7 linked regions of the Macaca fascicularis genome follow. The protein of the gene in region 2 purifies or fractionates together with the protein of the main gene of each other region. This does not show direct contact. Links are inferred from orthologs where the notes say so. Each region holds a gene or a part of one and is shown on either strand. Other genes may lie near its edges.

What was found.
Region 1: the proteins of BAG2 (region 2) and DNAJC13 purify together in Homo sapiens (affinity purification with mass spectrometry; 3 studies listed by BioGRID and IntAct, with this or other methods). This does not show direct contact. The link is inferred for Macaca fascicularis from reciprocal best matches to the Homo sapiens genes BAG2 and DNAJC13.
Region 3: the proteins of BAG2 (region 2) and LUZP1 purify together in Homo sapiens (affinity purification with mass spectrometry; 3 studies listed by BioGRID and IntAct, with this or other methods). This does not show direct contact. The link is inferred for Macaca fascicularis from reciprocal best matches to the Homo sapiens genes BAG2 and LUZP1.
Region 4: the proteins of BAG2 (region 2) and UBAP2 purify together in Homo sapiens (affinity purification with mass spectrometry; 3 studies listed by BioGRID and IntAct, with this or other methods). This does not show direct contact. The link is inferred for Macaca fascicularis from reciprocal best matches to the Homo sapiens genes BAG2 and UBAP2.
Region 5: the proteins of BAG2 (region 2) and HSF1 purify together in Homo sapiens (affinity purification with mass spectrometry; 3 studies listed by BioGRID and IntAct, with this or other methods). This does not show direct contact. The link is inferred for Macaca fascicularis from reciprocal best matches to the Homo sapiens genes BAG2 and HSF1.
Region 6: the proteins of BAG2 (region 2) and IRF2BP2 purify together in Homo sapiens (affinity purification with mass spectrometry; 3 studies listed by BioGRID and IntAct, with this or other methods). This does not show direct contact. The link is inferred for Macaca fascicularis from reciprocal best matches to the Homo sapiens genes BAG2 and IRF2BP2.
Region 7: the proteins of BAG2 (region 2) and RASAL2 purify together in Homo sapiens (affinity purification with mass spectrometry; 3 studies listed by BioGRID and IntAct, with this or other methods). This does not show direct contact. The link is inferred for Macaca fascicularis from reciprocal best matches to the Homo sapiens genes BAG2 and RASAL2.

The regions. Positions count from the first base shown.
Region 1 is NC_088376.1:35,412,197-35,415,696, reverse strand, and holds part of DNAJC13 (dnaJ homolog subfamily C member 13), read right to left. Parts: intron 1,314-3,500; coding exon 1,206-1,313; intron 415-1,205; coding exon 259-414; intron 1-258.
Region 2 is NC_088378.1:114,546,289-114,550,314, forward strand, and holds the start of BAG2 (BAG family molecular chaperone regulator 2), read right to left. Parts: upstream 2,801-4,026; 5' UTR 2,427-2,800; coding exon 2,314-2,426; intron 2,264-2,313; exon of another isoform or gene 717-2,263; intron 1-716. UniProt on the Homo sapiens protein: Co-chaperone for HSP70 and HSC70 chaperone proteins. Acts as a nucleotide-exchange factor (NEF) promoting the release of ADP from the HSP70 and HSC70 proteins thereby triggering client/substrate protein release.
Region 3 is NC_088375.1:212,044,410-212,047,909, reverse strand, and holds part of LUZP1 (leucine zipper protein 1), read right to left. Parts: intron 2,835-3,500; 5' UTR 2,716-2,834; coding exon 1-2,715.
Region 4 is NC_088389.1:65,451,256-65,454,755, reverse strand, and holds part of UBAP2 (ubiquitin-associated protein 2), read right to left. Parts: intron 3,406-3,500; coding exon 3,236-3,405; intron 1,618-3,235; coding exon 1,404-1,617; intron 1-1,403. UniProt on the Homo sapiens protein: Recruits the ubiquitination machinery to RNA polymerase II for polyubiquitination, removal and degradation, when the transcription-coupled nucleotide excision repair (TC-NER) machinery fails to resolve DNA damage. May promote the degradation of ANXA2.
Region 5 is NC_088382.1:153,969,930-153,974,096, forward strand, and holds the start of HSF1 (heat shock factor protein 1), read left to right. Parts: upstream 1-1,367; 5' UTR 1,368-1,526; coding exon 1,527-1,643; intron 1,644-4,167. Other genes in the region: ribosome biogenesis protein BOP1, read right to left, coding at 1,034-1,132. UniProt on the Homo sapiens protein: Functions as a stress-inducible and DNA-binding transcription factor that plays a central role in the transcriptional activation of the heat shock response (HSR), leading to the expression of a large class of molecular chaperones, heat shock proteins (HSPs), that protect cells from cellular insult damage.
Region 6 is NC_088375.1:14,524,370-14,528,669, reverse strand, and holds the start of IRF2BP2 (interferon regulatory factor 2-binding protein 2), read right to left. Parts: upstream 2,801-4,300; coding exon 1,753-2,800; intron 1,156-1,752; coding exon 440-1,155; 3' UTR 1-439. Other genes in the region: uncharacterized protein, read left to right, coding at 2,799-3,785. UniProt on the Homo sapiens protein: Acts as a transcriptional corepressor in a IRF2-dependent manner; this repression is not mediated by histone deacetylase activities. Represses the NFAT1-dependent transactivation of NFAT-responsive promoters.
Region 7 is NC_088375.1:35,792,832-35,796,915, reverse strand, and holds the start of RASAL2 (ras GTPase-activating protein nGAP), read right to left. Parts: upstream 2,801-4,084; 5' UTR 2,701-2,800; coding exon 2,112-2,700; intron 1-2,111. UniProt on the Homo sapiens protein: Inhibitory regulator of the Ras-cyclic AMP pathway.

The sequences.
Region 1 (3,500 bases), on a different chromosome or scaffold from region 2:
GTAGCCCAACACAAATTCTTAAGCTTTCTTAAAACATTTTTGTGATTGTTTTTTCTTTTAGGTCATCAGGTACTGTTAGTGTTAGTGTATTTTATGTGTGGCCCAAGACAATTCTTCTTCTTCCAACATGGCCCAGGGAAGCCAAAAGACTGGACATCTCTGCTGTAGAAGTATGCAAATGTTATCTTAGAAACAGTGATCCTAAAAGTGGTTCCCTTAAATTCACTGCTATCTGATAAGAAAACTATAAGCTCTCACCTGAAAAAGTTTAAAAAGGGTTCTTCCATTGGATGCTACCATCTCTAAGAGCATATCAAACTGCTGCCCTTCAGTTGTCTCACTATATGGAGCACAGAGGGCAAAGGTAAGGAAGTCCAAGAGTGAACTAATAACTAGGGCACCAGTCCCATGATCCTGAAACAAAGCAACAGATTCTCTTAAAGACTTGAAGATGGGGAGCTTCAGTTACATTGTAACAATAATGTGTTCCTTTCTGTTATTCTATATGTCAGACATAAACATTGACTTTAATTTCTCAACATGAGGTTCAAAGTTGGATGACTCTTTAGTACTTGCTTTGCTCACACAGTGAATCCATTATCCATCATACCTCAAAAGGATCAATTAAAATTCAGTCAAATTTCAAGAGTATAACCAAGACTTCTCAAATGTGTATAACAAAGGTTAATGTTTATTTGCATAAAAGAAATCTTTGCCAATATTTAAAAAACTCTGGCAATCTGCTCATGTTCCTTCAAGATGCTATAGAATGCCCATCTCCAAAATTATCAGGAACTGATGAACAAAGATTTGCCTTAATATTTAAAAAACTCTGGCAATCTGCTCATGTTCCTTCAAGATGCTATAGAATGCCCATCTCCAAAATTATCAGGAACTGATGAACAAAGATTTGCCTTAATTTTCTTAGAGCAGTTTATTTGATAATGACATTTTTAAAGAAAGAAAAAACAAAAATTGGAGTATCACTGTGAAAATCTAAAGGCTTTGACATGTATCCTTCCCAGATTAATGGATACAGTCCTAAGACAAAATATTTTATTATCAGTGACCAAGCTGAACTGTGACCAATACTGACCAAAGCTGGGGGCTATAATAAAAAAAAAAATCATCCATGTCGCACTTCTAGATTATCTTTCAATAACGGCATGAGACCTACCATGAAGACAAATTTAATTATAACTTACCACATGGGAATTAAATTTCTCCAGTAAGTTTTCCAGAAACTTCTTTGATGAGAGAAGAGAAGCTTTGTTCAACTGTTCTTGTCTTAAGTCATAGTCATCATGCATGGGCTGTTGATGAAAAAAAAAAAAAGTGGTAATTCATAAGCAGTCCCACGTGCTAGCATCACACAAAAGTCATTTATAAAGAGTATTCAAATTACACACTGAAAGAATTAAAAACCATTGCCTTTAAAGTGTAAGACAAAAAGGAAACTCATGATAAGCAGGCAGAAGTGATGATTTACCATGATTTTGATCAGACTTCACAGATAATTTGCCCAACAATTAACTCAACATATACACAAGGTACTCTCTCAAAGGTCACAGATCTTATTAAAAGGTAAACAACATTTGCCCAGCCAGAATTTTAAAACTAAAATTTGAAATAAAACTTAGCATTTAAAAGCATGTACTAAACAACAAATACTTGTCTCAAGGGTGATTTTCTTTTGACTATTGAAACATTCCAGCATGATGGTTAGGAGTACAGTTCCAATCCTAATTTTACTACTGACAATAACTGGGAGACATTAGGCAACGTAAGTTACTTTACATAACTCTGAGTTGCATTTTCCTCAGCTGTAAAGTAGGAGTGATAGTATTTATATAAGATTACTATAATGCTTAGATGAGATAATTCATGTAAGATACACAGCCAACACCTAATATGTAATGAGGGCTCAATGTTTCATAGCACCGTTTACTTTTCTTTTTTATTGTGGTAAACTACATATAACAAAAGTTACCATCTTAACCATTTTAAATTACACTGTTCAGTGGCATTAAGCATTCACATCTTTGGGCAACTATCACCACTACTCATCGCTAGAACTTTTTTCATTTTCCCAGACTGAAACTCTGTAATCATTAAACAACAATTCCCCATTCTGCCTTCCCCTAGCCCCTGGCAACCACCATTCTACTTTCTGTCTGTGAATTTGACCTCATATAAATAAAATCATACAGTATTTATCCTTCTGTGACTGACTTCTTTCACTAGCATCATGTTCTCAAGATTCATCCATGTTGCAACACGTGTCAGAATTTCCTTCCTTTTTGTTTCTGCTCATTTAGCAAATACTGTACGTTGTTATGGTTAATTGTATAAACTTTGGAGCCAGAAAGTGGGCTTGAAGCCTCCTCTACCACTTACTAGCTACATGACCTTGAACAAGTTACTTGGGCCTTAAGTCCTTCTCTGTAAAATAGATATAATAGTAGTAACTTCTAAAGTTCATTGGAAGACTGAATAATATATGTGAAATTCATAGAATAGTACCTGAAACACAGAAAAAAATAATTATTGTTTATTAAACAGCTTGACAAGGCCCGTTAAAGATAAAAATAAAAATTAAACAAGAATATTATCCTCAGGAAGCTGACAGATTGAAAAAAATATACCATGTTTAGAAATAGCAATAATCCAAAGAAGAAATTGCTAAGAAAGATAAGTGTTATATTCATGAGGGTAATTTCACTTCAGGGAGGGATAAACCACTACCACCTTCAGGAATAGGAAAGCTCCATTTATTTTTAAATTTTTTAATTGTTGTGGGTACATAGTAGGTGTGCATATTTGGTAAGCTTCATTTAAAAGCTGACTTGAGCTCTTAACGAATGATGAGCAGGGAAAGAATTCTGAGCAGAGGGAATATATGGCATATTAATATATATATATAGGTCTCTTTCCTTGGCTCCTGACATACAGCACCTAAAACCCTTGCAGACAGGGGTACTAGCAGAATCTTTTGTTGCAACAGTCTTTTACCCTGGTTCCTGACACAGAGCTCCTAAGGCCTTTGCAATTTCCTGAATGATAGGGGAGCCTGACACAAAGCTCTTTACCCTTAGAATTTCCTGGGTGATAGGAACATCTTTTGTTATAATAAAGCAACTCTCCAAATCATTGTTATTTTAAGTTCTAGTTATCTCACTACTTGTTTGGAACAGTAAATATAATTAATTCACTTTTGGGGATGCAAGGTTTTATAGAAGTGTTTACTTATGTTTATGTGCCACTAAGCTTGCCTAAAACACTTTATATAAGGAAAAGTCCCAGGTACTACACACAAAACTGAGATGAGAAACTTCAAAACTATACTAAACAATTGTTTCTCCCTCTGTACAAGCTGCCACTGAGTTAGATCTTTACTGCGCAACAGCTTTCAGATGTACCACTTCTCTAGCCCCTGTGACTACCCTAGCTCAGCAACTCATTTCTTACATGACAATTTGGTCAACCTGCCTCTAATTTTA
Region 2 (4,026 bases):
AATACAGAAGACAAAATGCAGTCTAAAAAAAGGGCTAGTGTACTGATAAATTCCATTAGAGATAAATGGAAATCCTTTAACAGTTTGTAGAACTGCTGCCAAACATTTTAATCATGTAGATCAGTTCATACTCCAGGTCATGAAGTATGAAATTTCTTCCACAATTGACAGGATGATGTGGTTAGGGAACATTACGTGCACACTTCTAAGTACAAACGGTAAGGTTTTATTCTACCCAGTTACACTACTTTATTAGTTAACATAAAATCAAACTATTAGAGCAAAATTACATATGAGTTTCATGTTTTCATTTAAAAATCGATCTTGTACGCATGATTCTAGTTTTTAATAGTGTAGTGTTCTATGCCATTGCCCATGTGGTTTCAAAAAAACACTTTAATAGGATCAATGTTAGCATTTTTCTCTATTTTTGCTTACCTTAGGAAATCCTTCCTTTTCAGCTAGTATTACTTTTTTAAAAAGAAAAAAAAGGCCTACAAAAGTCTAGAATTACTAAAAAAAGTCCTTGAAATGAACAGCCACATATTAATCACTTTTCTCCTCAGCTCAAATGTTAATTAAGCAAGTTGTAATTTAATCACTGATGTGCAGTAATCAGAATTCATTTTACATTAATCAAACATTAGAATATAATAATATTCAAAACCTGAGGCTTTCTTTTTAAGAGGAGCACTTCAGAGGGCTTTTGTACCTACCACATGTGAGGCATTAATTCAAGTTTGAGGACAATGACTCAGCTTGAAGGAAGGCGGGGTGGAGTAACATCCTACCCATTCCTTTAGGAAAAAATCTTTTCTTTCTAACTAGGGGAGAGCGAGTGAAGTGGTTGAGAACATGCCCTCAACGTTCTGAAGACATGGAGAGAGGTGTGTTACTTGTTATGCGGCTCCCTAAAAAGAAACATCAGTTAGAGGGACTTCCAGTAACTGAGGCCACCAATTTCTACTTGCGCTTTACTTTTTCTGGGAGTGGAACGGGTCAGGTTTGCTAGTATTGTGAAAATCCATGAGGAAGCATTATTTCTCTCTTCCACTTGCCTCATTCTGAGTGGAACCCCAGAACCTCGTGTAGGGCTTAGGTTTCTCTGCTGCCATCCAAGAAATTATTTTGAGCGGAGAATCTCTCACTCTCTGGCTCTTTTCTCCCAATAGTAACAATAATAATGCCTTACTTGTTAAAAGAGATGCCGTGGTTTTGAAGTATTTTCTCGGCAAACGGACACTTCATATTTGGGTGTATTAATGGAGGGAGATAAAACACACATGCAGTGTTTCCTGAACTTTTTGGCTCACATGCTTCTTTGCTCATGCACAACCTAGAGAAAACTATGGAACCAACTCCTGTGTACAGTTTCAGGGAATTCCAGGTGCCTAACAAGGTTTTCTTTTAACTACAGTTGCTCACAAAATTTACACAGTAACTTGAGACAAACGTTCACAGGAAGTAGATAAAACTTTTCAATATACCGTTAAAGTCTTTCCAAAAATCTATTAACATTATATTGTTTAGAAATTCTGTACAAGTCTACTACTATATTACCTAATAAAATCTTAAGCAAGAAAAAGGGAAAACTATCTTTTCATACTTTCAGGCCAGTGACTAACACTTCGTCTTCTATGTAGGGAGGTGCCCAATAAATACTGAGAGACAAACGGAACCGCGGAATCCCGTCCGCCAGGTCAGGGGATAAAGAGAAGCCGCAACGTCTTTACTGCACGAAGCACCCGGTAACTTACTGCCTACCCCTCACTCCTCTCTAATCTTTGGTCTCAATGGATTGCTGGGTTGGTTTTGTTTTATTCATTTTTGCTCTTTTAAGTGTTCTGAAGCAAGGAAACTTAACTTCACGTGGAGGGCCACTGTAAACTGCTGCCTCCCTTAAAAATGTATGACGGGAGAAGAGTAAGTTAAAAACATTTGGGGCCACACAGAAGGTTCTAGAAGCTCTGCAGACCCACGCTGCCACAGTCGTTAATCGCATGGAATCTCACCTCTTAACTTTTATCTCCTCTTTTTCCTGCTCCCCAACACCTAGGTAAGTTAATCAAAGTGTGGCCACCATCACGCCCTCACAGGTTTAGCTTACAATGCGTTTTCTCTTGGACAAGGGGAGAAAATCCAAGAAATAAACAAAACTACACCACGTCCATCCACAACAAATCTCAACAAGCAACTTCTGTTGCCGCAGCCTCACTGTGCCCCAGGGCCCGGCCCGCCACACGCGGCCTCCGTCCGCTAACCGCCCGCGCGGCGAGCAGAACGCCCGAGACCGCCCGCCCGCCCGCGGCTCACCTGAGCTCCAGCTGGTCCAGGCTCTCCAGCAGGCGGCTGGAGCGGTCGGCCATGGAGGAGGAGCGGCAGAAGCGCCCCTCGTTGGCTTTAGCGTTGATCTTCGCCTGAGCCATCTAAGCCTCCGACGCGGGGCAGCCGAGAGGTCACCGGCCCCTCCGGCGGCGGCGAGTGGAGCGCTCCTCGGGCTGCAGGCGTCGCCGTCACCACGCGGGCGCCCGCCCTCCCTCTGACGCCCGCGGGGGCAACCCGGGAGGACTCGCCGACACCGCGGCTGCCGCGTGGCCAAAGAAGGGCAGGCGCGGCGCCCGCGGGGCTCGGGGACGCCGGGCCTGGGAGGGGGCTGCAGCGGCTGGAATTAAGAGGTTCGCGGGCCACAGGGGCTCGAGGATGGGCCGATAGGGGCTCGGGCCTGGGGAGCGCAAGTCTCTGAGGCACGGGGAGGGGCAGACGCAGAGACTGAGCGCCTAATGTGGCCAGCGGATCGTCTGCTCCTCGGACCCAGGAACTACCCGAAGCCCGCCCGGACCCACAGACCACCCCCAGCTCCGCCCCGCGTGGCCCCGCCTCTTCGTGCAGCCTAAAAGTAACCAACTTCCCCCACACGAAGGTTCCTATCGGTCGATGGGTTGTGGGTGTATTGCTCAGTGATGGCTTCGTTTAGTTTCTTCCAGCACCCATAATTCAAAGCAAGAACAACGACATTAAGGGTCCTGTGATATAGGGAGAAAAGGTCCTTTTGTGAAACAGAAGGCAGTTAAGTGCAGCTCCTAGGCAGCCCACACTCACCTGACCTTCCTGTTACCACTTTATACTAAGATGAGAGTAACGAATGCCCGGACAACGCTGAAGCTATTAAGTAAAAAAGAAAAAGCTACTCCATCTTTCCCTATCTAGGTAGATGTAGGAAACAAAGTGAATTTACTTCATTTTTATCATTCTAAGGATTACAGGTGTGAACCACCACGCCCGGCTTAATGAAGGAGTTTTTAATTTTTGCTATTAAAATTATTCCTGTTGAGTGAGCCGAGATCTCGCCACTGCACTCCAGCCTGGGCAACAGAACGATACCTTGTCTAAATAAATAAATAAATATTCTGAGTGAAATAATTGGCATTAAGAAGTCCTCAACTTTTAATTTTTTTTTTTTTTTTTTTTTTTTGAGACCGAGTCTCGCTCTGTGGCCCAGGCTGGAGTGCAGTGGCCGGATCTCAGCTCACTGCAAGCTCCGCCTCCCGGGTTCACGCCATTCTCCTGCCTCAGCCTCACAAGTAGCTGGGACTACAGGCACCCGCCACCACGCCCGGGTAGTTTTTTGTATTTTTTAGTAGAGACGGGGTTTCACCGTGTTAGCCAGGATGGTCTCGATCTCCTGACCTCGTGATCCACCCGTCTCGGCCTCCCAAAGTGCTGGGATTACAGGCTTGAGCCACCGCGCCAGGCCAACTTTTAATGTTAACAAAAAGATGCAGTAGGCCTCTAGGTCAGGCACCAGCTGTCGGTAAAAGATGGAATAGAGCTGAGGATACAAAGATTAGTCTACTTAAAAAGTTAGGTTTTGGTCCCCTCTCCTGATAGCTCTATGCCTCTCACTGCAAGGATGTTAATGTACACGGCACAGAAAATGATAGATAATAATAGTCTAAAGCTGAACCAGCACCTTTAATCAGAGATCAAAGTCATTTAAATACTTGAACAGAGTTGAAGCCCTTAAGG
Region 3 (3,500 bases), on a different chromosome or scaffold from region 2:
ACTATGGCTTTTCCACCTGATTGTCTCCGCTGGAGGTGCATGGCTATTCCTCTCCACAGGATCCGATGGCTTGATTATAATGCTGCTCCGAGAGACCACTGTTTCTGGCCTGTTCTTCAGGGGCCCATCTGCCATTCTCTCCGCTTCTGCAAGCTGCAGGGTGATGTCATGTTTGTGAATGGAGAGCTCAAAAGGGGAGCTGACATGGTTGCTAAATGATGTGAGCTCTGCCGGCCCCACCTGGATATTGCTGGTGGATGTGTGCCTCTCCCTCAGGGCCTCACCCAGAGCAGCTCTGGGGCTGCTGCTGTCAGAGGGATAGATAGTAATGCTACTTGTCACTTTGTTTGGCCCTGGTTTGGAGACAGGTTTCTGTTTCTCCAACGTAGTCTCTGTTCCAGATCCTCCCATGATTTTTTTCACATCCTTATCAACAATAACAGGTTTGATGATGGCTCTAGATCGCAACGCCTCTCTGGGGCTAAAGGGCCTTTGGCTTTTTACCCCAGCACCATTGGTATCTGGGAGCTCCATGGCATTGGTGGAGGCTCTGACAGATTTCACAGATTCATTCTCTATTCCAGCATCTTTATCATTCTCAAACAGGGAGGTTCTAGGTACCCCTCGGGCTTTGGCCTTTTCTCTAGAGTTAGGCTGTGGTTTGGGCTCGGGCTCTGGAGTGATGGTTGTATTTACCAACTTGGCAGTAACAAGAGATGCTATGTCCAAGTCATCATCTGAGTCTGGCTTCTCTCTGCCACTGGATTTGATGACTCGACACCTCAAGGCTTCATGCTGACTGCTGTCTTCCATCACAACTGCTGCAGGTTGATCAACCCCTTCTCTATGTGAGGTTGAAAATCCCTGAAGGATGTTCTCTTGGCTTCTAGAGCTATAAGGATACTTTGATAAAACAGGAGCCTTGGAATTTGAGGAACTGGTATTGGCCTCAAGGCCATTGGCAGCCTTTTTGCCTTTAGAGAACCCTTCTGAGGAGGATCTTCGAGATGAGGCCAGAGCTCCAATGGCCTTAGAAGAGCCAGAGTTTGCAGCGTGAGTTACTTGACTTCCATTGCCAGGTACATGTCCCCTCTTGCCAAAGACAGACTCAGAGGAGGTGTCAGAAGCCTTGTCAGCTCTACCCAATGTGTCACTGGGAACAGATCCGTGGGTGGTGTCACTAAACGTTCGTGTTGTCTTCTCCACTTTTCCCTTCAGTCCGCTCTCGGTGCCCGGCTTGGGAGTCCCCTTCCACGCTTTACTGTGCTCCTGAGCAGCGGGGGGGTAGCGACTCAGCACTGAGGGCTGCTCCCTAGACTTCTTCCCTTCGCTCTGGGAGGATCCGGGTGCAAATCGGTCTTCAGTTTTCTTTGTCTCCTGAGTTCCACTGTCTGTACTCGCCCCCATGTGAGAAGCTTTTGCTGCCCTCCTGTTGGCGAAACTGGGAGAAGAAACCTGCCTGTTGCTCAGAGAACAGTTTTCATTGTTGACAGCAAACTCCCTGTTCCGGAGTCGTTCCCGCTTATGCTGAGGAGACAGTTCCCGTGCTGTGTGCCTGGACGCAGGAGCCTCACTTCCGTGGCCTCTAAACTTAGTCCTCTCATGTCTGCCTTTGCTGGACAGGAAAGCATCTTCCCCTTCTACCTCCCCATTTTCTAACTCTTTCTGTTTCTTGATTTGTAGCTTTATCTCCTCCAGTTGGCTGGCTAATAATTTGTTTTTATTTTGCTCACTTAGGTAATTATCCTGAAGGTCATTATTTTTGGCTTTCATTTTCTTAAGCTCTTCTTCCAACGATTCAAAGTGTTTGATTTGTGTTTTAAGTTTCTCAATCTCCTGGTTAAGGTCTTTGACTTTGTTGTCTTCCTGATTGCGGTTCTTTTCGTTTTCTGATTTGTTTCTTGTTTCATTCTCCACCTGCTTTAGGTAGTCCAGAGCGCCCTTCCTTCTTGATTCTTTGGACGGCAGTGTAGATGAGATGCCATCCTCAATCCGAAGGTCATTTCTTTCCAGATTAGAAGCATTCCTTGTATAATCTCGGTTCATTTTTTTGTTCTGCTCTAGTTTTTGAGTGAGTTCTTTTATCAATTTCTCATTTTCTTTCTCCTTTTCATTCAAGTATTTTCTCTCACTTACAAAGCTCAGAGTTAATGATTTCAGCTTTTCTAACTCTGACGCTAAACTCTGCTCAGTTTTATCCAAGCGGTCCTCAGAAGATTCTAGTTCTTTCACTTTGACTCTGAGCATTTCTAGCTCAGAGGAGATTTTCTTGGTCAGATTTCTCTCCTCATTCAGGCTCAAACACAGCTGGGTACAGTCATTCTTACTCCTGCTGAAGGCCTCTTCCAGCTTCTCTAATTCAGCCATTCGTTTCTGAAGCCGCTCAATCTCAGATTTCAGCTCCCGGGTGAGGTTTTCTTCCTCTTCAAGTTTCTCCTTCATCAGACGACACAGATCCTCTGCTCTCTTAATCTCCTCGTCTTTGCCTTCAATTCTCAGCACCCGCTGGCGCAGCACTTCAATCTCCGCCAACATGCTGGAGTTGCTACCTTCTGCCTGAATCACCTTGTCCTGGAGATCCAGGAGCTCATCCTCTGCTTTCTGGAGGTTTTTTGTGGCTTCTTCCAACTCATCAAGGCGGCGGCTTAGACTCTGTAGCTTAAATCGCAAGTGGCGGCTGGAGGCTGTCTCCTTGTAGCTTGTAAATTCGGCCATGTCTACTGCCAGCCAATGTGGACTCCTAGAGGCATCCAACTCCACTCAAGGGGATGAGAAATGGTTACCTTTCTCTTGGCAACCACAATCTTCTTTGACAGCTGGAGACCATCATCAATCTATGGAAGCAAAGTAGAAAGCACGTCAGTCAGCAAATGTAAAACCTGCATGTTAGCTCCCAGTTATAGAAAAGAGCTCCTATCTGTTCCTGGTGCCTGGATCATAGGAGGGGCTCAAACTCGTTGAATGAATGACAAACAAACCTGCAAGAAAACACTGGTTCTTTATGGCCAATATTGAGTTGATACCTCGTTTCGCCCTAATAAAGAATGTCACCAGTGGCAGCATGGCAAAAAGACGTATAAGAAGCCTCAATTCTCATGGCAGGGTATAGTAACATCATTACCACCTGCAACCTGCATAATCTCAGGAGAGTCATTAACAATGTAAACTGAGCCTCAGTTTTACTTAGTGGTAAAATGGGCATAATGATGTCTACCATATTTCTCCCCAGTGTTGTTCTGAGACAATATGTGGAAGATCTTGGTAACAAAGCAATAAACAAACCTAAGATTATTTAAAAAAAAAAAAAAAAGATTATCTCTTATGAGCTATTGTGACTTAAAAGTGATACAAATTAACCCATCTGCCTTGCTATAAATGGTGAGCTTCACAATATACTAAAGCAATCTCTCCACGCCCGTTTTCAACATCTCTTCTCCCAAAAGTGTATTTGTAAGTGGAATTCAGGTGTGAGTTGGCCCCACCCAGGCAACAGGCAGCTT
Region 4 (3,500 bases), on a different chromosome or scaffold from region 2:
GGTGTATATATGGTAGGAGGGGTTCTTGTGGGGCAAGGGTTTGGATTTACTCATAGGATTATCAAGTCCCAGTACTGTTAATAAAAATTGTTGGCTTAAAAAATTTACTCAGAAACCTGGGATATATAGAGTTGTTGAGCTGAAATCCTAAGCTATCATGTCATATTTACAAAATAATGTCAAGTGATAAAAGGAACAAAGAGCCCACTGTGGTGGCTCACCCTATAATCCCAGCACTTTGGAAGAAGGCCAAGATAGGAGGATTGCGTGAACCTGGGAGTTCAAAACCTGGCAATATCCTGTCTCTAAACAAAATACAAAAGGCAGGCAGACATGGCAATGCATGTCTGTAGTTTAGGCTCTTTGGGAGACTAGGGTGGGAAGATTGACTGAGCCCGGGAGGTCAAGGCTGCGGTGTGCTGTGATTGCGCCACTGGACTCTAACCTGGGTGACAAAGCAAGACCATGTACTCCCCCAAAAAACAAACAACCCACAGAATTGCTCACATTGCATGCTCACATATTAATTTTTAGCATTTCTTAACAATAAAGTATCTTTATTTTTATTTTTATTTTTTTTAAAGTATCTTTAATTAAGATATCCACATTGTAACTTTTATATGCACTAGGAAACCAAAAATTAGCACAACTTTCTTTATTGCAGTGGTCTGAAACAACCTGCAGTATCTGCAAGGTATTCCTGTAGTGTTATCCATATTATTTTAATTTTCTGGAAGAGAATGATGTTCAGGTATTACTAGTGTGACATGAAAATAGTAAAAACAGCTGATTTGGCCTAGCAGAAATGTGTATACTTACTTGTTTTTTTTTAAGTTTCCTTCTAAGATTCTCAGGAGATATTGGTACATCTCAACTTAACAGAAAGCAATACAATTGGCAATGACCACCAGATATGCAGCTAGCAAGAATCTAGAAGGGTAACACTTTAAAACTATCAAAAATAGATCTGGTTCCTTTATCTACAGTCCAGTATTATTAACAAGCTAGGTAGGGAATACACAATTTTAACACAAAAATACCTAACAGTGATGAAGAAGCAAATACATTCAAAGCAAATGGGGCAATCAGAGAGAAAGCAGTACAAGAAATATTCAGAGATATTTCAGACAATGTAGAAGTACCCAGTACTACAGCCGAAGTGCTCACACTACGTGGATGCTTGGTTTTCTCCACAAAGTGTATGAACTTGTGGATCTATCCACACACTCAAGAGCATGGGTGCTAGAGATGCCCACTGTAAACAAACTCAATGAACTATAAGGATTCTACCCAAAAGGTCAATTTGTAAAATAAAATCATATCCAAGAAGCATTAATTTAACCAAACATTAATTTCCAAATAAGACAGACATCTTATGAGAAAAAAACTAAAATACCACTTACCATGATGGTTCCTGGAGCTGACTCTGATGAACTCACAGGGCTTTGGTATGGGATCCTGTTATGCACAGAACTCTGGTCATAAGAGGAAGAAGTTGCTACTGGACTAGCAGAACTCAGTGATGAGCTGGTCAGACTGCAGGAGGTAATGACAGAAGTTGTATATGTGGAGTTCTGTACTGCACTGGTCATTGGTAAAGATGTATTCAAAGGCTCACTGAAAAGAGTCAAAGATATTCAACATAATTTTGTTACTTTAAATAGCTTCATGAAAAAAATAAAAATAAACAGCTTCAAGAGATGCAACTACTTCATCAATTTATTGTCCCAAATGAGACTCACCTAATTTACTGAGAGATAGGGGGACATCTTTAAGAATACTTAGGCTGGGCACAGTGGCTCACGCCTGGAATCCCAGCACTTTGGGAGGCCAAGGTGGGCAGATCCTGAGGTCAGGAGATTGAGACCATTCTTGCCAACATTCTGAAACCCCATCTCTCCTAAAAATACAAAAATTAGCAGAGCATGGTGGCGGGCGCCTGTAATCCCAGCCACTCTGGAGGCTGAGGCAGAAGAATCACTTGAACCTGGGAGGCAGAGGTTGCAGTGAACCAAGATCGCGCCACTGCACTCCAGCCTGGCGACAGACTGCGACTCCGTCTCAAAAAAAAAAAAAAAAAAAGAATACTTAAGAAGATTCTTTAAGGAATCTTAAGGAATTCTTTAAGGAATCTTTAAGGAAGATTCTTTAAGGTGTTTGAGACCATCTTTAAAAAGGGAACTTAAACAAGTATCAGGTTTTGCCTCTGGAATGCGGAAAAACTAAAACAACAACAACAACAAAGTCAGCCAGGCACGGTGGCTCATGTCTGTAATCCCAGCACTTTGGAAGGCTGAGGCAGGCAGATTCATTGAGCTCCAGAGTTTGAGGCTGGTCTGGGCAACACGACGAAACCCCGTGTCTATAAAACGTATTAAAAAATTAGCTGGGCGTGGTGGTGCACACCTGTAATCCAAGATACATAGGAGTCTGAGGCAGGAGGATCACTTGAGCCTGGGAGGCAGAGGTTGCAGCGAGTCAAGCATGCCACTTCACTCCAGCCTGGACAACAGAGCAAGACTCTATCTCAAAAAAAAAAAAAAAAAAAAAAAAAACCCCACAAAAAAACTAAAATCTGAGATTTTGTATTTATAAAATATTCCACTGAAGAAAATTACTGCTGCAAAGATGTGAAGAAATTAGATCCCTCACAGACTACTGGTAGGAATGTAAAATGCTACAGCCACAGTGGAAACAGTATGGGAGTTTCCCAAATGGTTAAGTTACCATATGACCCAGCAATTCTACTCCTGGGACATACATCCCGAAGAACAGAAAGCATGCAAAACTTGAAACCAAATGTCCACAGTAGCACGATTCACTATAGTCAAAAAGAGCAAACAACCCAAATGTCTACCAACTAATCAATGAATAAAATGTGGTGTATCAACACAATGAAATATTTGGCAATAAAAATGATACATTAAACATGGGTGTACCTTGAAAACTTATACTAAGTGAAAGACCAGACATAAAAGGCCACATATTCCAAGATTCCAGTTATATGAAATGTCCAGGTAGGCAAATCCAGAGACAGATTATTGGTTGCTAAGGGGCAGGGCAATGAAGAAATTGAGACTGTCTGCTACAGGTATGGGGTTTCTCATGGAGATGATGGAAGGTCTGGATAAACACTGAGGACAGCTGCACAATCTATTACCACAGGATGTATTCTTTCCACCAGGTGATCTCTTAGGGTCTATTTTGCTTCATAACGAAGGACTAAATTCAGTACCTTAAAGACTTCGAATACAAGTTGATGGGAATCTGATTACTATTTTCACTGCTTGGAGCTGATCCAAATTCAGAGAGAGAAGGTTCTGACCCAAATTCCAGAGCCCCAAACTGCACATTTAATCCCGTGACATCTGCTGAACCAGGCATTTCCACTGCAGAAGCTGGGATCTGAAAAAGCAAAGCTGTCATGTCAGGAGCAGAGGTCACAGATTCCAGGTCACAAAGGCCTGTAACAGAGCCAAACAAGCATTTAGGTTCCCAGG
Region 5 (4,167 bases), on a different chromosome or scaffold from region 2:
CTACTCAGGAGGCTGAGGTACCCGGGAGATGGAAGCTGCAGTGAGCCGAGATTGTGCCACTGCACTCCAGTCTGAGCAACAGAGCAAGGCTCTATCTCAAAAAAAAAAAGAAAATAAAATAAAAGAAAGAAAAAGAAAAAGGAAAGAAAAGAAAATGGAAGCAGTTGAATGTAGAATTCTAGATTTTACTGCTTTCCTAACAGTTTACAAGTCTCACTTAAGGTACGACCTGGATGTATTAGCTATTGCATACTGAGTGTTCACACAATGCCTCTCTCACACAGTCATGATGTGTCTTGGTCCTCAGTCAGCTACACAACCACAATAACTAGTGGAAATGGCATGCATGGCCTGAGCACAAACAACTGGCTCCTGAAGACCATTTAACTCAAGGGTGCAAGCAGCAGAACCTGGCGCCTAGAGCGGCCTGCGGGCCGTTCAGCCCATGGGAACCAGGATTAGTTGAGTTCGCTTCACAAAGCAATGGGGCAGTTTCAACAACCCAACGCGGCCGAGGGGGCTGTGAGAGGCTGGCTGTCCATTCCCTCCACCACCCAATTTGACGATCCCCACAACCAAGACGGGGCTGAGCTGGCAGAGGGCAACAGTGAGTTCTGATACAACAAACGCAGCAGACTCTGGGTTCTATTCAGGTTTTCTTATTCTCACGTCTATCCCATGAGCATAAAAACGCGATTAACTAGCGCATAAGTAGGTTAAGCATTTACTGGGGGCGCAAGCCGAGCCCTTTTACTGGCAGGACGCACAAATGGAACGGCCGGAGAGGCTGCTGCAAGGGGCGCTTATCCCCACTCCCTGCACCCCCGTTTCTTCGCTTCCCGGACGCCGTCCTTCACCCTGCAGTCTGCTCTGCCTAAGACCCCCCGATAGAGGAGCTGCGCCCACGCCCAAGGCCGATTCACTGGGCACGGGCGCCCAGGTGACAGCAGCCGGGCCCACCCGCCCCAGCGCGGCCACGTGCCCGCTGGGCCTTCTAGGGACGCGCCTCGCCGCCCCGCATTGCCGCAGTCACCTCTGGCTCGGGCTCAGGCTCCAGTTCGGGCTCCGACCGCCGCTTCTCCGGCCGCACGCTTGGCGCCGCCGTGCGCCCCGTGCCCCGCGAACCCGCCATGTCCCGCCGCGCGCCGGCCGCGACCCGAACAGCCGCTTCCGGCAGCGACACGGCCGCGTGCGCAGGAGGACGCGCCCCGCCCAGCCCGGCCCCGATTGGCGGGCGGGGGGGGGGGGGCGGGACCAACACGCGCAGGCGCGCGGCGGGGCCGGGGGCCGGGGCGGGGTCGGGGCCTGCGTGCTCGCGCCGGGGGGGGACGCGAGAGGGCGGCAGCGGCGGCGGCAGCGGCGGGAGCGCGCCCGTTGCAAGATGGCGGCGGCCATGCTGGGCCTTGGGGCTGTGTGTGCGCAGCGGGCGGCGGCTCGGCCCGGACGGCTGGCGCGGCAACGGCGTTAGCCCGGCCCTCGGCCCCTCTTCGCGGCCGCTCCCTCCGCCTATTCCCGCCTTGCCCGAGATGGATCTGCCCGTGGGCCCCGGTGCGGCGGGGCCCAGCAACGTCCCGGCCTTCCTGACCAAGCTGTGGACCCTCGTGAGCGACCCGGACACCGACGCGCTCATCTGCTGGAGCCCGGTGAGGGCAGCGCGCGGGCGCGGGGCCCGTGGGGACCGGGAGGGAGCAGGGCCGCGGTGGACGGCGCGAGAGGGCTGCGGGGAGGGGCCCTGCCACACCTCGGCTTACGCGCGGGGAGCCTGCCCTGCCCCCGCCAGGAAGGGCGGCGGGTCCCGAGCCTGCCCAAACGCAGAGCCTTAAGTTGGGAAAGCGGCTGCGAGACCCACACCCGATTGAACCGCTGCCCCAGCGAAGTTTCCCTGGGATGGGAGAATGGGGCGTCCCTTGCATCGGGCTTCTGCTAACTGTTGGGCGGTTGCGGAAGTGTCCGCGCTTAGGGCAAGCACCCGGCTTCGCCAGCGGACGCTGTGCTCCAGAGGACATCGGCGTCCCCGGGGGACGGCCTACGGGGTGCTGGGTCGGCAACTATTCGGAGAAAGTCAGGACTTGGCACGTGAAGCGGAGGGCGTCGCTGTAGTGGAAAAGGAAAGGCAGTGGAAACAGAAAGTAAGACGTCATGAAGCTTCAGGTTAATCTCAAGCCCGTTTCCGAATCCCAAATCTGGGTTTCCCAGGAGGAGTTTTGTTTTTCATTCCTTGTGGGGCGTCTTTACTCGTGTGTCTGTCTTCAGTTGCCTGGCAGCAGGCTTGTTTACACGGTCCGACCCTGCAAGACCGGACAGCTCCGGTTTGCAGAAGTAAATCAGTGATTGTCTGGAGTTGGAGATCAAAATCTGCTGTTCACATCCCGGCTGTGACGTCGTGTCCGGTGAGGGGCAGAGCCACAGCCTGTGGCTGGCAAGTGATGGCCTGAAGAAAGGCCACACTGGCCGAGCAGGGTGACTCTTTGCTGTGAAAGCAGCACTTTGGGAGGTGGCGGCGGGTAGATCACTTGAGGCCAGGAGTTCGAGACCAGCCAAGACAATATGGCAAAACCCCGACTCTACTAAAAATACAAAAAATTAGCCGGGCGTGGTGGTGCTTGCCTGTGGTCCTAGCTACTTGGGAGGCTGAGATAGGAGGATCCCCTGAACCTGGGAGGCAGAGGTTGCACTGAACCGAGATTCCACCACTGCACTCCAGCCTGGCAAAGAATGAGACCCTGTCTTAAGAAAAAAAAGAAAAAAGAAAGGCCACTGATCACTGGGAGCTTTTGGAGGGACCGTGACAGGCGGGATGCCACCAAGCACGTGTGGCCTCCCAGGAGCTAAGACCCCAGAGTTCCTCAGGCTCTGCTGAGGGCCTCCCATTTGCACAGCCTCTTTCTGCTGTTAGGAATGAAGAAAAGTCTGAACTGAAGCTGCTCCAGGCAGGAGGCCAGGCCTTCTGCTTCTCGGGTTTACTGAGGCCCTGCTTTACCTACAGAGTGTTTGGGAATAAAGAGAGGACTGGAAATCTTTGCTCTTTTCAGAAACACTTTGTATTTGTCCTGCTGACACCTCTGTCTGTGTCGGCCTTCCCATCCCCAAGTCCCATTACGGCGCAGTGCGCCTTCCTGCAGGCTGACTTCATTTCACCATCTCTTCATTCTAGACCTTGGCATTTTTGTGCAAAGGAAGTATTCCCATGTTTCTGTTTTCTTTTATCCGTCTTTCGTTTTCTTTCTTTCTTTTTTTTTTTTTTTTTTTTTGAGACGGCTTCTCGCTCTGTCACCCAGGTTGGAGTGCAGTGGTGCGATCTTGTCTCACTACGACCTCCACCTCCCAGGTTCAAGCAATTCTCCTGCCTCAGCCTCCCGAGTAGCCAGGACTACAGATGCACGCCACCACACCTGGCTGATTGTTGTATTTTTAGTAGAGACGGGGTTTCACCACATCAGCCAGCCTGGTCTGGAACTCCTGACCTCAAGTTATCCACCTGCCTTGGCCTCCCTAAGTGCTGGGATTACAGGTGTGAGCCACTGCACCCAGCCCTTCCTTCTTTTTCTTATTCCCCTTAACCCTCAGAAGTACTCTCTTGCCCCATTGGGGGAGGGGCATCTGAGATTATCTGGGATATTCTAAGCTTAATCCTACTAGCATGATCTGTCCTGTCCCATAATCTGCTTGCTGTTTCTGCTTAAAAGATTATGAGGCATGTGGGTTAGGTCCCAGTGTACTCTTTTTTGAGACCGAGGCATGTTCTGGGCAGGGCTTTTGAGCAAGGGAGGCAGATTTGATGAGGCCTGTGGCCAGCCTCCACTCTCCTCACAGGTGCACCACCTGTGGGCCTGTTCTCCCTGGGGAGGGATGGGGAGCCGTGTGGAATGTCAGTGTTTGGTTCCACCTGGTCAGTATAAAGTGGCAATGGTTGGTGCAGGATGTAGCAGTGGGGGCGAGCATGGCAATGAGATAGAAACACTGACTTCAAACTGGAAGGAAGCCCTTCTCCAGACTGTGCGGGGAGCTGCAGAGCTTTCTGGCGCTGGCTGCGTGGCCTGGAGAAAGGAGGTGATCGTCCCATCCTGTGGCTTTAAGAGCACACAAGCCCTGAGGACTCCATGTCGGCAGAGTCCCAACAGGGGACCCTCCCACAAATCTACTGCCCAGGCCCAGCTGGCTCTCGGA
Region 6 (4,300 bases), on a different chromosome or scaffold from region 2:
CTGAGAAAGGGGCCAGCAATAAGGAATGACAGACAGTAAGGCAATCTTACAATGTCAGAAAATGTATTTGGCTTTTTTTTTCTTTTTAAAATAAGTGCATACAAATACAGCTAGAAGCATTTCTGATTTGCCAAGTGCTCTAAAAAAGCAGCGCAAGTCACAGCCTACATAGAACGGTAACTGTCACCAGGATAATAAAGCACAAAGATATGCTAATAACGTTAACAAAAGAAAAAAATGCCTTTATAAGTACATACCTTTTGTCGTCAAAAAAAAATATAGAAACACAATGTATTCAAAAAAAAATCAAAATTATACAGCCATGTTTATGAAGTCTACATTTCCCTTGTCTTGGATATATATATATATGGAGATATATATATACAATTCAAGCAGTTTTAATTAAGGGTAATCATTGGGTTTTTCTGAAACCGGAAAGTCACGAGTCTCTCTCTTTTTTCACTTTCACATCTCCAGCAAGGATGGTTGCAATTTCCCCTTGCATAAAGGCCCAGGGGACATTGGAGCCCACAAGAGGGCATTTTTCCCCACTGGGACAATAGACCTCTCCACTAGCTCCCTGCTGTTTGATGCTTTGTCTGGAGCAAGGGAAGCAGAACTTGTGCGAAGGGACGGACGGGCACTGCACAAAATGGGTGTCCTCCAGCCGCTCGTGGCAGAGGGTGCAGCACAGCGGGGCACTGGCTGCCAGAGAGGAGTCCGGGAGGCTGGCAGGGTGCACTGGCTCCAGTCCTCCTGTGTTGCCTGCTCCCTGGCCCCCCACCTCTCTGGGGCCCAGCCTTCTTTGGTTCATAGAGGACGGAGAGGGCGGACTGTTGCTATTCCTCCTGGTAGTGGAGTGAACCTGGTTGGCATCTTTTGAGGCATGACTGCCCCCTGCATTGTCTGCTACTAAGATCAGGGCTGCCATGGGGGACTGGCCATTCTGGGCCGCTTCAGGCGGTGTGGTCCGGTTGGAATGAGGTGAGGCAGTGGGTGGTGGCGGAGACACAAAAGAGGATGTAGGAGTCATGGGGATCTTGAGCCCTTCTGTGGATGTGGACAGCCACGGCTGGGCCTCTCCATTGATCTTAGGGGGCCCGACTTCACCTTCTGGTTCTGGAGAGGGCTTCCTTTTCCTTGCTGTTCTTGCAACTGGAAACACAAAGAAATAAAAGGAAAAAGGAAACATAAATGGCGGTGCACTGAAAGGGATCCTTCCCTTCCTAACCCGAAACAAAACTCGTTACAGAATTCCTCCTCTCTAAAAGCACAGACGGAAAACCCTCCTACGAGTTTCAGGTGCACATACACGCAACTTGAAACATTTAGGCGTGTGGGGTTCTGAGGCAGTAGACTGAAAATAAAACGGAGCCACTGAAAATGGCAGGCTTGTAACTGCCTGTTTTTACACATGCACAAAAGTACCCTAGTTTGCACTGGGCATGTGACTGCTAATGTCCCCCAATAGGTTAAAAGGTGACTAGTGCCCTCATGCTCCCATCCAAGAATGTGCTGGGAAAGGAAAACCCCGTGTCAGAGCGTATCAGCCCAGTCTGACTCATCTCTGTTATGCTGCTTCAGCACATGAACACGTTGCCACTAAGCACTGGTTCCGCCTCAGGCAGATCAGGAAGTGGGGTGTTTGTTGTTTCTGAGCTGGGGTAAAATGGTGAATCGAAAGAACCACCCCTCCTCTGCTCTCCGTCCCCTTTTCTCCCCTAGAACCCCTCACTTCACAGCCGCCCCTACCTGCTTTAGACCCGTTGGCCCCGTTGGCCTCGAAACCCAACAACCTGCCTGCAGTCAGGGCCGGCTCCTTCTTAAACTTGCTCTCGAAGGGCCCCGAGTGGCCGTGCTGGTGCAGCGCCAGCAGCGTGTCGCGCACGGTCTTGGGCCTGTTGACCCAGTCCTGCTCTCCAGACCCGCGGCTCTTGCCCGCACCTTCCGCGCTCAGCTCGGCGGCCCCGGCCGCGGTGGACAGGCTGTCCGCCGGGCCCCGGTGCGCAGGCGGCGGCGGTTGCTTCTCCTTGGCTGCCGCCTCGCGCTGCTCGTGCTCCACGGCCGCGCTGCTCGACACGGATGCCGGCCGCTTGTGGGCGCCCAGGTCGGTGGGCTGCGCGGAGCCCAGGCTGGCGGCCGCGGTTCCGGACACCGCGGCTAAGGAGGCGGCAGCGCGGCCGCCGAGGCCGAGCGCGGTGGGCAGCGGCGTGGCCGAGCCGTTCATGAGCGGCACCAGGGTGGGCGGCACCGCGTGGCCGCGCCGCGGGTTCGGGCTCTGGCGATTCAACTCGGGAGGCTCCTCTAGCTTGGAGAAGCCGTTGGGCACCAAGATGCCGTTCACGGGCGGCGGCTGCGGCGTCGGCGGCTGGGCCAGGCTCGCGGCCGGACGACTGCCGCCGAAGTCAGAGCCGAGGCGCGGGGGCCGCTCGGCCGCGGCCGCCAGGGGGTAGCGCTCCAGGGCCTGCGGCGCGCGCGGGGCCGCCTCGGGGCCGCCGTGGCCGAGCTGCTGCTGCTGCTGCAAGAGGATGTCCTTGGCCGAGAGCGGCGGCGGCTTGGCGGCGGCCGGGGCCGCGGCGCCGGGCGGGGAGCGACCCTCCGGGAAGCAGCCGTGCGCCCGCTTGAGCTGCCGCGCTGTCTCGATGACGAACTCGACGCGGTCGGCGCCCTCGTAGTTGACGCAGCCGCGGCACACAGGTTCGGTGAAGTCCCAGATCATGGCCCAGGGCATGCGGGGCAGATCACACAGGTAGCACGACTGCCGCCGGGACGCGGCCGCCACCGCCACCGCCGCGGCCATGTCCGAGGAGCCCGCGGCGCCGGAGGAGGAGGAGGAGGGGGCGCCGCCGCCGCCCCCCACCGGCACCACGCGCGCCCTCCTCCCCCCCCAACCCCGCGTCTCCCCCACCAGCGGCGGCGGCGGCCGCAAAGGCGGCGGCGGCGGCGGCAAAGCCCGCGAAGGCTCGGCGCCCGCGCAGCGCCCCCGGTGCACGAGGGGCGGCGGGCGCGAGGCGAGGGGCTGCAGCCGCGGCAGCAGTTCCCCCCGGCCGGCGCGGGCGCGGGCGGGCGGCGCGGTGCGGCGGTGCGGCGGGCGCGGCGGCGGGGGCTCGGCTGGAGCCGCGGCGGGCCTCCAGACCGGGGCGAAGACGGGCCGCGCGGGCGCGGGGGAGCGCAGCAGGTCGCGGCGGCGGCCGGCACAGTGTGCGGGGCGGGGGGCGGGGAGGCCGGGGGGGCAGGGGGCGGGGGGCGGCCGCCGGGGCAGGCTCAGCCCGAGCGGCGGGGCATGCCGCGCCGGGGCGGCGGCGGCTGGGCGGCGTGGAGCTCGGGTGCGGCGCAGGCCCCGGGTCGCTCCGCCGCTCTCTCACAGCTCCTGGCGTCGCCGCTCTCCAGCGCCAGCGTCAGCGGCCAGCCCGCCTCAGCTCTGCCGCCGCCACCGTCGCTGCTGCTGCTGCCGCCGCGGCCGCTCCACTTCTACAGACTTGATTCTTCGACAGTCTCGCACAGCGCCTGCGCGGGCCCCCTCCCCTCGGGCGCGTGCCCGCCCTCCCGCGCGCGCGCTCCCCTCCCCCCTGCGCGCCGAAGGAGCGCTGTCGGGAGAGCCGGCTCTGTGGCGCCCGCCCGCTCGCGGGGCAGCGCGGCAGCGCAGCGCTGGTGTCCCCTCGGAACACGGCGCAAAGTGGTCGTGTGCTTTTCCTCCACTTTCCCTCACTTCACGCCCCACCCGGCTGTCTCGACCACCCTCAGGATGTTTTCCCCTGGTGTGCCTCTGGACCAAATCGTGCTAAAAGCCATTTCTTTTTCTTTTATGCAAGGCCACTTTGTCACTTGGTTTCCGTCAGTCTCCTGAGAATGGGGATTTTAGGTCTAGCGTGGTTCACAGTTCTGGTTTTTTAGGAGTTATACTTGAAAGCTCAATGTCGGACACAAGAGCATGAAATCCGTCACTGGTGCTTTGCATTTGCATTTGTCTTGGGAAGGACATACCCGCCGCCTGCCCCTTTTACTAACTAGGGAGAATCTGGATGTTCCCAAGCCCAGCACCACGTGCACACGCCGCCAGCTGGCTCGCGCGTTTTCCACGGAGCCCTCTGGAGGGGAGGGAGCGCGGTTCGGATTAGCAGCTCGCGAACACCAAGTGCTGCTCTTAGCCCCGTCCAGCCCGCCCTGTTCAGCTAGGGCCTCGCCGCGCCAGTTGCCCCGGCCGCCTTATGTAGGTCTGCGCGGCGGGCGCGTGACGTGGACTCGGGACCGTGGGCGGCCGCCGCCGCGTGTGCGCACGCTCCGCGCAGACGTGCCTCGG
Region 7 (4,084 bases), on a different chromosome or scaffold from region 2:
ATTAGGATACTAGCTCTTGCCTATAAATTTACTTCTTAATTTGTTAACTTAGTGAATTTAACTTTAATTACTTTCTCTTAGATAAGAAAATCAAACTAGTCATTTATTTGGTAGTCTTTTGTTGTGGGAAATGAGGGATGAAGAAAGGCTCACAACTGCAAAAGGTCAGAAAACCAGTGATGTAGACACTAGGCCAGAAAGAAGTTACTGCCAAAAGAGAAAAGGAGACCTCTGCATAGGCACTTGATCCAGTCTTTATAATAAACAGTACATTTCAGTCTTAAGAGCTTAATCCTCCTCTCAAACACACACACACACACACACACATACACACACACACACACACACACACACACGAAGCACTGAGGAGATAGCAGAGGAACTGTTTTATAAATGTTGTTATATGACTGGTAGGACGCTAATGCACTGTTTTTTAGTTATTAGAATCTAAATTCCTTGAAACAGCACCTTAAACTTAAACTCTGTATGTGCTTCCACATACATATTATTCCATGACTAGAAGGATAAGATAGTAGGAAACAATACAGAACATTTTATATTTCCTTAAGCAGACCATATATGCGTAAAATGCAGGGACACCAACCACCTCACAGCACCTCACACATCGTAGACCATCAAAAATAGCTTGGTATATTTGCTAAAAACTGAAAGTTTGCACTACGAAAGTCCAAAAATGATTATAAATGCAAAAATTTAAAGTATTGCTTCTTTTATCAAATGCACACATGCTAACCATTTAGAGGAACTGACTGTAAGATTTTAAACTCTTAACTTCCTTTGACATTCTTTTACTTTGATCACCTTATGATCACCTGGCAAGGAAACAGACATTACAAATATCCAAGAAAGTGAAACAACCAAGTCTTTCAAAAATTTTACTGGAATGTTAATAAAGGCACATTAAGGAGGAAGATTTTCCTCTAGGTAATTATCTATTTGCCAAGAGTAAGGAGAAAATATATATGTTTAAGAGCATCATTAAAATTCACTGAGCAAAGGAACATCTAGGGAGGGCAGGGTTTACAGGAAATACTGAATTTTTGGCATACATTAATTTGGAAAATTACTTAAGTTTTCACTGAAATGATCTCATTAGCATTCTTCAACTTTATTTTAAAATAAATTAAATTATATTTCAATAACAAAATTCTTCAACAGTTCTCAGTTTTAGAAAGGGTTTAAACCTTTGATGATACGTTCAATCTCCTAATAATGAGAGGCTGAAATTTTCTTAATGGTAAGAGCTTGTCAGAAAATGATCTCAACTGGTCATGAAGATACTACCAAGCTTCTAGTGTTAAGGTTTTTTAAAAACCATAGGCCTCAAGTCATAACCAAAATTGTTCACCAGATACGGTCAACCATTTTTAAGGCAATCAGTTAAAAAAATTAAGCATTGTGGGCTTTTTGGCTTTAACAATGCTATAATCAATATGAAATACATTTAAAAATTTTAAACAGCCCCAAATGAGATTTTTAAAAATTTGAAAATCCTATTATCTTAAATGAATCAAACACAAATTTCTATTTTGTCACCTAAACAGATATTCAAGATTTGCATGCTTGGCTTCCATATTCAAATGGAGTATTTTTATGATATAAGCAAATTAAAATCCCAACTTTTTAAGAGCTATCAGTGTAATTCTGTTCCACATTTCTCACTAATAACATTAATTTAAAAATAATGTTTATGAAGAGATAATAGTAGAAATACATTTTAAATTCTCAATTGTCATGAAAAATTATTTGAATATTTTCCCCTCCAAATTGCACTTAAACTGGAAAAGTAGATCAGTGGAGACAAATGAGCATTAAAAATAATTTTTTCACATGGGCCCCAAAATTGAGTTCAAGAATTAACATCATAAAAAAATTCCTTAATTAACCAAATTCGTTAACTTCTTGCTATTACTATAAGTCATTAAAAGGTTTCTAAAGCAGTGATGATCACTTTTTAAAAATTGTGCTAATATATTTGTTTTATAATGAGAAAATGAAAAGCTTCACCTGATTATAAAACAAATAATTAAAATTTCAACAGTAACTAAATCTGAGCCATCCCACTTTTCCCCTTATTCATTTCAATATACCTTCTCTTACTGGCTCATTGGTTGATTCTCCTTTTAGACTCAGCATCCTGGAGAAGCCATTGGAAAGAGTAGAGAAAATGCCACGGATGAAATATCCCTGCTGTTCAGACTCCACTGACCCAACTGAAGTTGGCCACAGTCTAACAAATCGGATACTGCAGTGGGGTTCTGGTTCTGAAACAGATCTGGTGAATGGTGCTCGAAGTGACCGACTGTTGACCAGGTGTGGCTTCTCTGTTGATGTTCCAAGGACCTCATTAGCAGAGGAGGAAGCATTATTACTAACCATCTTTGGCAGGATGACCTTCTGTTGTTGTCGTTCAAACAGGTCTACTTTATTACTCTGCAATCTCTCCCTTTTGTTCCCTTTCCACCTAAAACTCAGATGTCTCTGCCACCGATAAGCACCCAGTGGCTCTCCTAGATTGGAAACAGCAGATTCATTTTTCTTCCTCTTGCTTTTCACTGGACCACACCATGGATAACTCTTTAAACTTGTTCCTATCTCTGAATCTGCATAAGCAGGTTCTGACAAAGATCTTCGATAGCCTGGAGGACAAGGTGATGTTTGTTTCTTAAAGATGCTCATCTTCCCCAACTCCAGTCTTTAACAGCCTTAAGCTTCCTCTACTATGCAGTCTTTGCAGTTGAACCACACATGTCTGTGTAGTCCAAAACATCTGACTGCTTAAGCAGCTTTCTTTGTGTGGCTTTGAACCACAGCAGATGTTGCTGCTTAAGAGCTGGTGTCATGTTATTACGCCATTTTCCCAGATCTCAAAAACTTTAGCAGCACCTAAAAGCCTCTTGCCTGAAGCAAAGTATCATCGGAATAGAGAGAAAGTCAAGATTTTCAAAAGATCACCTCACTTCCTGCAGTAGGTTACATTTCTGTAATAGGCTTTCAGCAAATGATTTTTTTTTTAAGTGAAATAACAACAACCCACTAACACCTTTATGGACCAGTAGTAGTTAAGTGTTCACCATGCAAATGATAGTAAGTTAAAAACAGATTGTGAAGAAAATCAAATTACTCAAGCTGATATCGACACTTTCCAGAAGAAGAAAAAAAAACTTGCCTAGTCTTGGAGTGACAACTCTTCAGAAGAGTTTTGATGGTCTGCATTTTAGAAGTTTAATTTCAAGTAAATCAATGCTATTTATTTTACATCTCTCAAAGTTAATATTGTTTTACAACCAATAGATAAAATTCAAGCTGGTATTGTAAGAGGAGGAAAAAAGCCAAAAGAAAGCCAACACCATTTTTAGTGTAAATACATTATAGTATGAAGAATTTAAAAAGCATAAATAGGAAGAAAAAGAGCAGAGGCAGAAGGTATTTGCTATAAACTATAGCAAAGGAAAAGGAAAATCTTGAGGCAAGATCTTGTGGCAACTGGAACATAGGAACGTACATACTTTAAAAATTTCTGGGAGAGGAAAGTTTGCTATATAAATCTAATTGGGATAAGTTGGCTGGAAAAATATTCCCTATCTGTTTAACCAAAGAAATTCCTTTATTCCTCTTTGTGCTCCTTACAACTTTAAGAAAGAGCTGACTACTTAAAATTTGTTAAAGCAAGTACCTTATACTGAACCAAGATCACGAATGCCAAGTTTTTGCTGGTTAAGTTCTTTTCAACTGTCTGCTCATAAACCCCTGAAAGTAAGGGTTTCAAATGGAAAGCCTGACAGACTTCAGACTACCAATAAAACAGATATAACAGGGCAATCAAAGTCACCCTGCAAGTTGTTTTAAAAAATGATTTCATCTGGCAAACTAAAAAAAAAGATCCACTTATTTGTAGAATGTTTTACAATGAAAAACAGTTCTCACACTAAGTCTTTTTCTTATTATGGTCGAAATCGTAATGAAAACCAACACACTTATTGCTTTAAACATATTACAATGTTCTATTTATCACTATTATCATCAACCAATAACTGCATTTGATTTGTTTATATAGTCTCTA